Caenorhabditis elegans: one gene and its partner. The protein of the gene in region 1 purifies or fractionates together with the protein of each later gene. This does not show direct contact. Each region holds a gene or a part of one and is shown in the gene's direction. Other genes may lie near its edges.

Evidence for each region.
Region 2: the proteins of pkg-2 (region 1) and mrpl-49 fractionate together in Caenorhabditis elegans (co-fractionation; one large-scale study listed by BioGRID). This does not show direct contact.

Annotation. Positions count from the first base shown.
Region 1 is NC_003282.8:8,518,808-8,524,055, forward strand, and holds the start of pkg-2 (cGMP-dependent protein kinase), read left to right. Parts: upstream 1-2,086; 5' UTR 2,087-2,088; coding exon 2,089-2,261; intron 2,262-3,795; exon of another isoform or gene 3,796-3,864; coding exon of another isoform or gene 3,865-3,929; intron 3,930-4,485; coding exon 4,486-4,652; intron 4,653-4,712; coding exon 4,713-4,826; intron 4,827-4,983; exon of another isoform or gene 4,984-5,004; intron 5,005-5,248.
Region 2 is NC_003283.11:12,726,490-12,730,071, forward strand, and holds mrpl-49 (Large ribosomal subunit protein mL49), read left to right. Parts: upstream 1-2,141; coding exon 2,142-2,268; intron 2,269-2,312; coding exon 2,313-2,447; intron 2,448-2,488; coding exon 2,489-2,643; intron 2,644-2,692; coding exon 2,693-2,839; 3' UTR 2,840-2,928; downstream 2,929-3,582. Other genes in the region: R11D1.13 (DUF148 domain-containing protein), read left to right, coding at 723-860, 903-1,013, 1,056-1,094; rpl-28 (Large ribosomal subunit protein eL28), read right to left, coding at 1,192-1,370, 1,417-1,618; zfyv-19 (FYVE-type domain-containing protein), read left to right, coding at 3,032-3,091, 3,136-3,282, 3,340-3,516, 3,563-3,582.

The DNA of each region.
Region 1 (5,248 bases):
AAAAAAAAAACTAATTAGATTTGAGGGTCCCGCTACAGTAATCTTAGCTTCAATTTACGAAAGTATTAAAATTACAGAAAAATGTATATCAAGATAAATTTATAATATATGTGGTACTCTCTATTTTATCCTCACTCTCTTATTTCAATTGTCTTAGTGCTCTTTTGGCCGATCTGAGCCATTAAAATGTCTCAATGTTCATAGAATATTCACAACTCTTTTTTCAAAAACCTAAAAAAAAGGAGAAAAAGAGTTGAACAACATGAAATTGTGGCAAAAGTCGAAAGTTTAAATATTTCGGCACAAAAAGTGCTCCCAATGGAACTCATTCATTGCTTCCCTCTCACTATTAAAGCCTCGAAACGGAAACTTTTTGTTTCAAATCTTTTCCCGATTTTTGGTTCTCAATATTCACACACATTCCCCCGAATGAGAAGTCTCGAAAGATTCTTTTTTTCGGTTTTGATTCAAAAGGATTTCTCACCCACATACATTCTTTTGACGTATTCACCCTCAGGGGTATATACAATAAGAGTTTTTCAGTTAGAAAGAAGAGACTCTTACTTTTCCCTTATTTACTTCAAGAAAAGTTTTTTGTTGGATTTTCATGTAAACCTACTTATCAATTGTTATCATAATTTGTTTTGACTTTCTTTGTAAACCAAAATATTTCAGATTGAGTGCAATTGTTTTGTTCTCTAGAATTTCGTACAGTTATATTGTTCAAAAATCTTGAACATTTACTAGCACACTAATTACAAAAGTAGTAATTAAAACCAAGTATCTTAGATATTTCGACATATCAAATTTTGTTTGTTGTTCTTGTACATACTATAAAACTAATTTTATAAACTGGTATGAAGTATTTACGACGAAATTTGTGAAGATAAACGGGTTTTCATATAATTTATCATAGTAACCATGTCTTGTGAGCATTAAATCTTAAAGAGTTTCAGAAAAAGAACTGCAACGAAAAAGTCTCTGAATGAGACATGAAAATGAAGCAGTGATGGCTCGACCGGTTGAATTTTGAGCTACGAATAACCAAATCAGATATTATAAAAGTTTAAAGCTATAGTGACGTTATTTTGCATTTACCTTACTACTTTAGTTTAACAAAATCCAAGTTAGTGGATTCTTTTAAAGAATTTTCATAATCATATTATACAACATTTTTATCGTTGATTGACCCCACCAGTGTGCTCCCTGTGTTGTCCGTTTATCGTCATCATCTCTTCATTTTACTTCTCATCTGTTTGCTTTTCAGCTTCCTCCTCCATTCCTTCTGTTTTCTCACCCCATCTCTCTAATTACTGTACTATCTAATACATGACCAGCACATTGTGAGACTTTTCGCATTTTTCGGAAATACAAAAAAGAAAAGTTGCAAAAATTCAGTGCACCGACAGAGAGGTCAACGTTGAGTCCAATGAAGATAAATATAGAAAGATTGGGAGAATTTTTTGGATAGCAAGTAGGAGTTTTAGAGATAATAGACTTCATCCGTAAGTTCATGCAAAATGTGATTTAAAAAAATTGAAGTTGCTATAAATAATTTTTGAAATAGTCGCAAATGCAGTGCAGTGTGGAACCTTTAAATTTTACTAAATATTTAGATTAAAAATTTAAACTATTAAATCTACAAAGACAGTTTAAAAAACTCTTAAAAAACAAATTCGAGTAGGTGGAAAGCTGAGAAAACATTGTTTAATAAGTAGAATAAACAAGAATGATGTGAACAATAATGATTTCACACCTACACCCACTAGGTACATACAAATATCCCCTACAGACAAACAGACACACAGACAGACCTTCAAATGTTCTTTGAGACATATTTAATCAAAAATTCGAAAACAAAAACACGTTCATTTGAATATTTACCCCATCACCTTCCTTCAATTAGTCCATATTTCCGTTTAGCCCCATCTCCAAAAAAATTTTCGTTGGCTTCATCACTTCATTAGCATATCATCATCATCTTTCGTCTCACCATTTTCTGAAATTCTTGGTTTATTCTTCTCCTCACTAAAATATTTCCTCTGATTAAACATCAAAATGATTCACGATCGTTTCCGTTATTCAGTAATGGATTTCACACGTGAAGCATTGCTCGCCGAGCTGGAGCTGAAGGATGACATAATTGAACAGCTGAGAAAGGAACTTGATGAATATCGAATGATGAATACAACAAGAAAAACTGCAATCTCTTCTGAACCGGATATTCAAGTCAAAAGACCAATTATTGGAAAAAGTGATGCGTTAGTTTTTTTTCTGTTTCAAGCTCATCTCAAAACTCCATCTGCTTTTCTATAACTGACTTATATTTGCCACGTAATAGATACACAAGTCAAACTACAGTAAAAATACTTATGTTTAGCCACGTAGGCTCATAATACAATAGAGAACACACCAATTACGTGATAAAACCAAAATTTTGGAACGGTGCTCAGTCAAGAGCGAGTCACGGCAATTCGGTCCAAAACCATTTCTAATTAGTAAACTCTCAAAAACCACAACTAATTAGCTTAAAATCATTGCTAATTAGCAAAAATAAGCTAGTAAACTATTAGTAAACTCTCAAAAACCACAACTAATTAGCTTAAAATCATTGCTAATTAGCAAAAATAAGCTAATTTACAATGGTTTTAAGCTAATTAGTTGTGGTTTTTGAGAGTTTACTAATTAGAAATGGTTTTGGACCGAGTTGCCGTGACTCGCTCTTGACTGAGTGTCTATAGGCGAACACCTCAGAATAAAGCCCATCACATCAATTTTGTAAAATTTATTTTTTTGATAAACATATAATTTTCTCAAAATAGATAATCTCCAAGTCAACAAGAATGTAACCTAGAAAAATAAGAATCCTCGTTTATAACATGGTGTTGACATAAATAATTACAGAACATAGACTCATGACAATGATTTTTAAATGAACTTTTTTTTTCAAGTTTTGGTATACCAAAAACAAATGTTTATTAAATAGCTAGATTAAAAAAAACGCCTTTACCATATTTTTTCAAAATATTTGTCAAAGATGCAAAAATATGTCTAGCTGGTCACCTTGTCCGAGATTACGAAAATTTACAGTAAAGTTTCAAACTAAGTGTCTGATAATTTGTCAAAGATTGAGTAGCGTGAGTGGGGATTAAATATACAAAATAGTCTAAGGTAGAGTTGGTAAACCGGACTAAACCTGGTGCCCGGTGTTTCCGGATTTTGGGCGATCCAGTGCCTATTTTCTGGGGTGTTATAGAGGTTTATCAATATTTTTAATGACAGATTCAAACATTTTGATAATACTCTATTTCAACATAAAGCTAGGTTCTTTAACTTGTATTATGACCCTACGTGGCTAAACATACTGGACAAATCGTTCCAATTCTCCAAAAACTGCAATATCAAAAAATCACAATATTTTGGTGTACATTGAGTTCAAGCCGTTCAAAGATATTGGCAAAAACTCTTTCATCAAATTCTTGCTACACTTTTCTTGAAAAAATGTTAAACTCCTTGTCAAATATGAGTCGAAAAGAAACCAGACAAGTCCATTGTGATAAAAAAACATGTGCTTTGCCCTCAAGTCGACATGAGAATAAGTGAATGGTATCATGTCAGTTTGTTCTTCCGAAATAAGAAGCTTCGAACGGGAGAGAGCTCTTCTTTGCTCTTTGCACGGAATTTTTGTGCTCTCATTCCTCAGTTTTTCTTCTTCTCTCTAAGTTCGCACAGATTACTGTGTCTCATATGGGCGGTCCCAAGATAATATAAACTCTGGACTTGACCTCTGTATTTCATTTGGATACCATTCAACTTTGGTAGATTTTGATTAAAAATTTCCATTCTGGGAACTTGATCTGAAAAATGAAATCTTTACGCTACAGAAGAGATTTATTCCGTAGTAGAACTCAACGGTATATACCAAAGAGGTTCGTTCTTATGTTTGCTTTTTAACTTTTTGACTGCATCATTTTTGCAAAGATCCCAGACAATACGTCACAAAGATTTTTACAAGAAAACGTGCAATGTACTTCTTTTATTAGTATTGCACCCTCACTACTTTACTTTGATAGCATATCTAGCTTGTCCTCAATTTTCTCAAAGATATATTTACGCTTCTTTTATCAGTTAAAAGAACTTTCGAACCCTTATTGTTGAGAATAGGGGCGAAATATTTATTAATTGGGAAAATATTGTACGTACATTAGAAATGTTCCTTGAAATGCATAATTGAACTACTTTTCTATGTGCAAAATATCAAAAGACCAAAATACCAATTTACTATTTTACTAAATTGGCCAATTTTATTAAATTTTGGAGTTTCGGCTTTACTGGGCTTTTATAGTAAGAATGTCCGTCTTTAAGTGCCTGCCTACCATCTACTTTTTGCCTCTTGTGAGAGAATGTAGGATTAGGTTAGTTTAAAAGATTATTTACGAAATGAACAAAAAATTCCGCATCGTTTCAATAATTTCTAGTTTTCAGAGCTTTCGAAACAATCGGAAATGCATTGCGTCTCAACTCGTTCCTTCGTAATTTGGATGCAACTCAAATTGAGAAAATCTCATCTGCGATGTACCCCGTAGAAGTTCCAGCTGGTGCAATAATTATTCGTCAAGGAGATCTTGGATCAATTATGTATGTTATTCAAGGTGAGTTCTTGTCATTTCAAAGCTATTATTCAAAAATGAATTAAATGAAATCAATTAAAGAAGGAAAAGTTCAAGTTGTGAAGGATAATCGATTTGTACGAACAATGGAAGATGGAGCACTATTTGGAGAGCTTGCTATTCTTCATCACTGTGAAAGAACTGCAACAGTTAGAGGTAAATCAGAAAAAAAACGCGTATTTCAAGGAATCTGTAGATCCCTTCAACTATAAACAATATTTGTTTATTTTTAGAATGTTTCATTTTTATTTTCGGTGTATTTATTTCCCGTTTCAAATTCAATTAGTAATCCAAAAACAATACGAAAACTTGCTACAACACTGTCAACAACTTGCATGATTTGCAAAAGGATAATAGATTTGTATTTTATTTTTTCTGAGCTATTTTTTTTTGGAATTTTTGGAAAATAAACCCTGACCAGAAAATTATTATAGTTTGTTGACAAATATCTCACTGAATGACTAAGTTTAATCACAACATTCGGCGATCCCAAAAACGTTTACAACAACATTCTTCTGGGATTACTTGTAATTTCAAATTTCAAATTTCAAATCTCAAAGACGTTTATCTCTGTTTTC
Region 2 (3,582 bases), on another chromosome or scaffold:
ATAAAGAAAGAATACATTTATTTCGTTTTTGAAACTATTATTATGAGTAATTTGAATACAAATAATACAGAAAATTGAGAAAGGAACTTGTAAAAACAAAGTATTGTATTGTATTGTATTGTATTTATTACGATTCAAATCGTGATCAAAAATAAATAAAAATAAATAGTGAATAGACATGAATAAGTTAAGGCCGAAACATCATAGAGAGATTGATAATAATCACAAAAATTGATAATAAACATACAGTATTGGAAGAAAACAAGAAAAATCGATGGATTTCAGTGCAAATTAATACAGTAATCTTAAAGGCAGATATTCAAAGCTTTTTAAATCAGTTCACCGCTCGTGTCGAGACCATTACTCTTTAAACTCTTCAAAATCGTAGAAGAGGAAAATAATGGAAAATAACTTCGTTCTTCCAAAAGCAAGTGAATGTGCTTTTCAAAATCTGAACATTTCTAAATACAAAGTTTTGGAAGTGTACTTTTTTACAACCATAATTATATTATAACAAACAGTAATTTTCAGTCAGACACCATTTTCATATTTCTCGATGCTGAAAAATTTGCAACAACTTAGGATAATCCCAAAGAACCGATCCAAATGAGAAAAAATACCATGCCCTATAACCGGTTTCAACTGAACCTAAAATGTCGTGATCGACCTTTCGTCGAATGCATGCCCATTCAACGTTGAGCCGATTTGAGTGCTATTTCAACATGAAATTTTTGATTCTGTCCTTTCTTCTCGTATCAATTTGCTCTGGAGGTGGTGGATTCCCGATTCAAATGTTGACAAAATGTGGAATTTCAAAAGAAACCATTGATGGCGTTCAAAGTGTAATCGACGAACATTCGGTATTTTTAAAACGACTTCTTAGATATTGAAAAATTTTTCAGGCAATGATTAAAATTGCTAACTCGAACAAGCGTGCCAAAAAAACCGAAATCGATTCTTTGAAGGCAGATATTGATTTATATTTAGATGAACATGCATCTGACGACGACAAGGTAGGATTTCTAATCTAAATTTTACATATTTATTTTTTCCAGAAAAGATGGATTGAGTGCTTCACAAAGAACAACTCCTAATTGTCTTGATTTTTCACTTTTTTTTTGAATAAAAAATTTTAACGTGTTGATAAGCTGTAACACTTTATATTCATAACAACAACGTAACAAACGTCATTTATGCGTCAGTCTTTTGGACCTTAGCCTTCTTCACTTGGGAGCGGACGATGGCGGCGGCACGACGTTGAGCGAGCTTGTTGAACTTGTTGAATCCGGCGTTCTTGGCCAAGCGACGGACTGAAGCAACTGGGGTCTTGCTCAAGGTGGAGGTGGTGACGGCCTTGGCTGGTCTTCCCTCTGAGAAAAAACAGTGTAAAAAATAAATTTTTAAAAAATCTCTTACTCTCGTTCTTGGTAGATACAACGACTCCCTTGGCGGCGGCGCTGACGTCGATGGCGTGCTTGTTAGCGAGTCCACTGTATTTTGGGCTGTTCACCTTCTTGAGGTTGAACTTCTCAGTGGAGAATCGCTTTCCGATTCCGCGCTGGGTTCTGAGGAAAGCGCTGTTGTTGCGGATGACTTGCCACACGAGAGCGTCGGACATTTTACCTGGAAATAAATTATTTTATGATGAAAGTTAAATACAATAAGATACAACGGGAAACGTAAGAAAAATTCAATAAAATCAATTGTACACGTAGGTTTTCAAGCAAATTTAAGAATACAATTTTACAAAGTCCTAAATGTCATTTTTCCTGCTCAAACTTTTGACTGAAATGCATAAAAATTCGCTGATAAAAACAAGCAGAATACGCCAAAATAGTTGCAAATTATAAAATTTACAGAATTAATACAAAAAATTCGATATTTTACTCAAAAAAATGGAAAAAAAGAAGAAAAATAAATTAAACTTTCGTTGAGCTGGCCTAAAATCTAATAGCAAGCGCGCTCCATTGCCAAACGGTGTAAACGCGGAGCCTCGTTTGCGTGTAGTTTTTATCGTAAATCGACACAACTTCTTTCAAAATAAATTATTTCTTATGAGTAATTTTCTGCATTCTATTGTTGTGTTTCAATTAATCTTATTTTTAATTTGATTTTATTCAAAATTATATAATTTTATTAAGATGCTGGGTTCTTCTCTCCGCATTTTCTCCCCTCGAGCAGTTTCCAGGTTGTCTTTTTCAACAACTTCAGTCGAAAAAGCTGAGAAACTTTGGGAAAATCCATGGAAACATGCTCTCCCTGAAAAGTGTAAGTTATTTATTATCATATAATTTTTCTACTAGCAATTACAGCCAGAAGTCTTGCAACGGTCGAAGAAGCTCCTATCGATTGGTCGTATGTGGAAAGATTGATGCCAATAGAAGTGGTGCCGAATGTTCCTGAGCACGAAAAGTATCCTACACCAAGCGGATGGACACCACCGACAGGTATATACAGATTAAATTCATACCGCATCGAAATATTTCAGAAGCAGCCAAGACACATCAATACTACATTCGACGTCGTCATGACCATCTTCTTCCTCTTTATTTGGAACGAAAAAGGGATTTACTGAATGAGAAAACGTTGGATTTTGATTATGTCGAGCTAGTAACTATCAGAAACGTCGACGGAGACATTTTTGTAAGTTGGGAACATTATTAAATCCTGAATCAACATAAATATCTTTCAGGCTTGCGAAAATGATCTCCGCTCCTATCTTGAAGAACATCTTGGACATTCGATCGCCAGTCACGTCGATGAGTTGAAAGGTCGTATCAAAATTAAAGGAGCTCCACGTGTTCTTATTGAGCAATTCTTCTACAGCAAAGGATTCTAGATGTATTCTTGATATATCTTTTAGTTTTTTATCTAGGCAGATTTGTTTTGTTGTGAATTTATTGTTGGAGAATGAACTAGAAAAATTCAATTGTCTACTTTATCATTTTTACCTTCAAACCGGTTATTTCACCGTCATTTCCTTATTCTCTTCATTTTGTATCATTGCGAAATGCCGAAATTCTTCTCTAGAATGCCTTCCTCAATTTGTTGCACAAACTGCAGAACTAAATATTCATTATTAAACAGAGAAGTTATTTTCTGGCATCAAAAACTAATTAATTTCTATTTTTTCAGGCCGGCTGCTCGAATTGTGCTCTCTCCTTCTGTAAGAAATGTCTGCCTCATCGTGCAATTATTCCCACACTTTCGGATTTACCAATGATTGTCTGTAACAATTGCTATCAAAAATTGGAATCTGCCAAAATGAAGCCCAGCGCGACTGTAAGAAAAAGAACAAAGTAAAAACTAAATAGATATTAATCCCACGATTTTTTTCAGATAACATCAACGCCTCTACCAGATAATTCGAATAAATCGAATAAAAATTGGTGGGGTGATGGACTTCCACCGCCATCATTCAGGAATTCGCACACAAATCAAAATCAGATTAAAAATAGTGAAGTCAAAGCAACTAAATTCAGGAATTCGCCAGAAATTCCATCGCAGCAGACCAAGGTAATTAGCGTCACGGAATTTTCTTAATTTATTTTTCAGTTTTCAGCCAAATTATCCGACCAATGA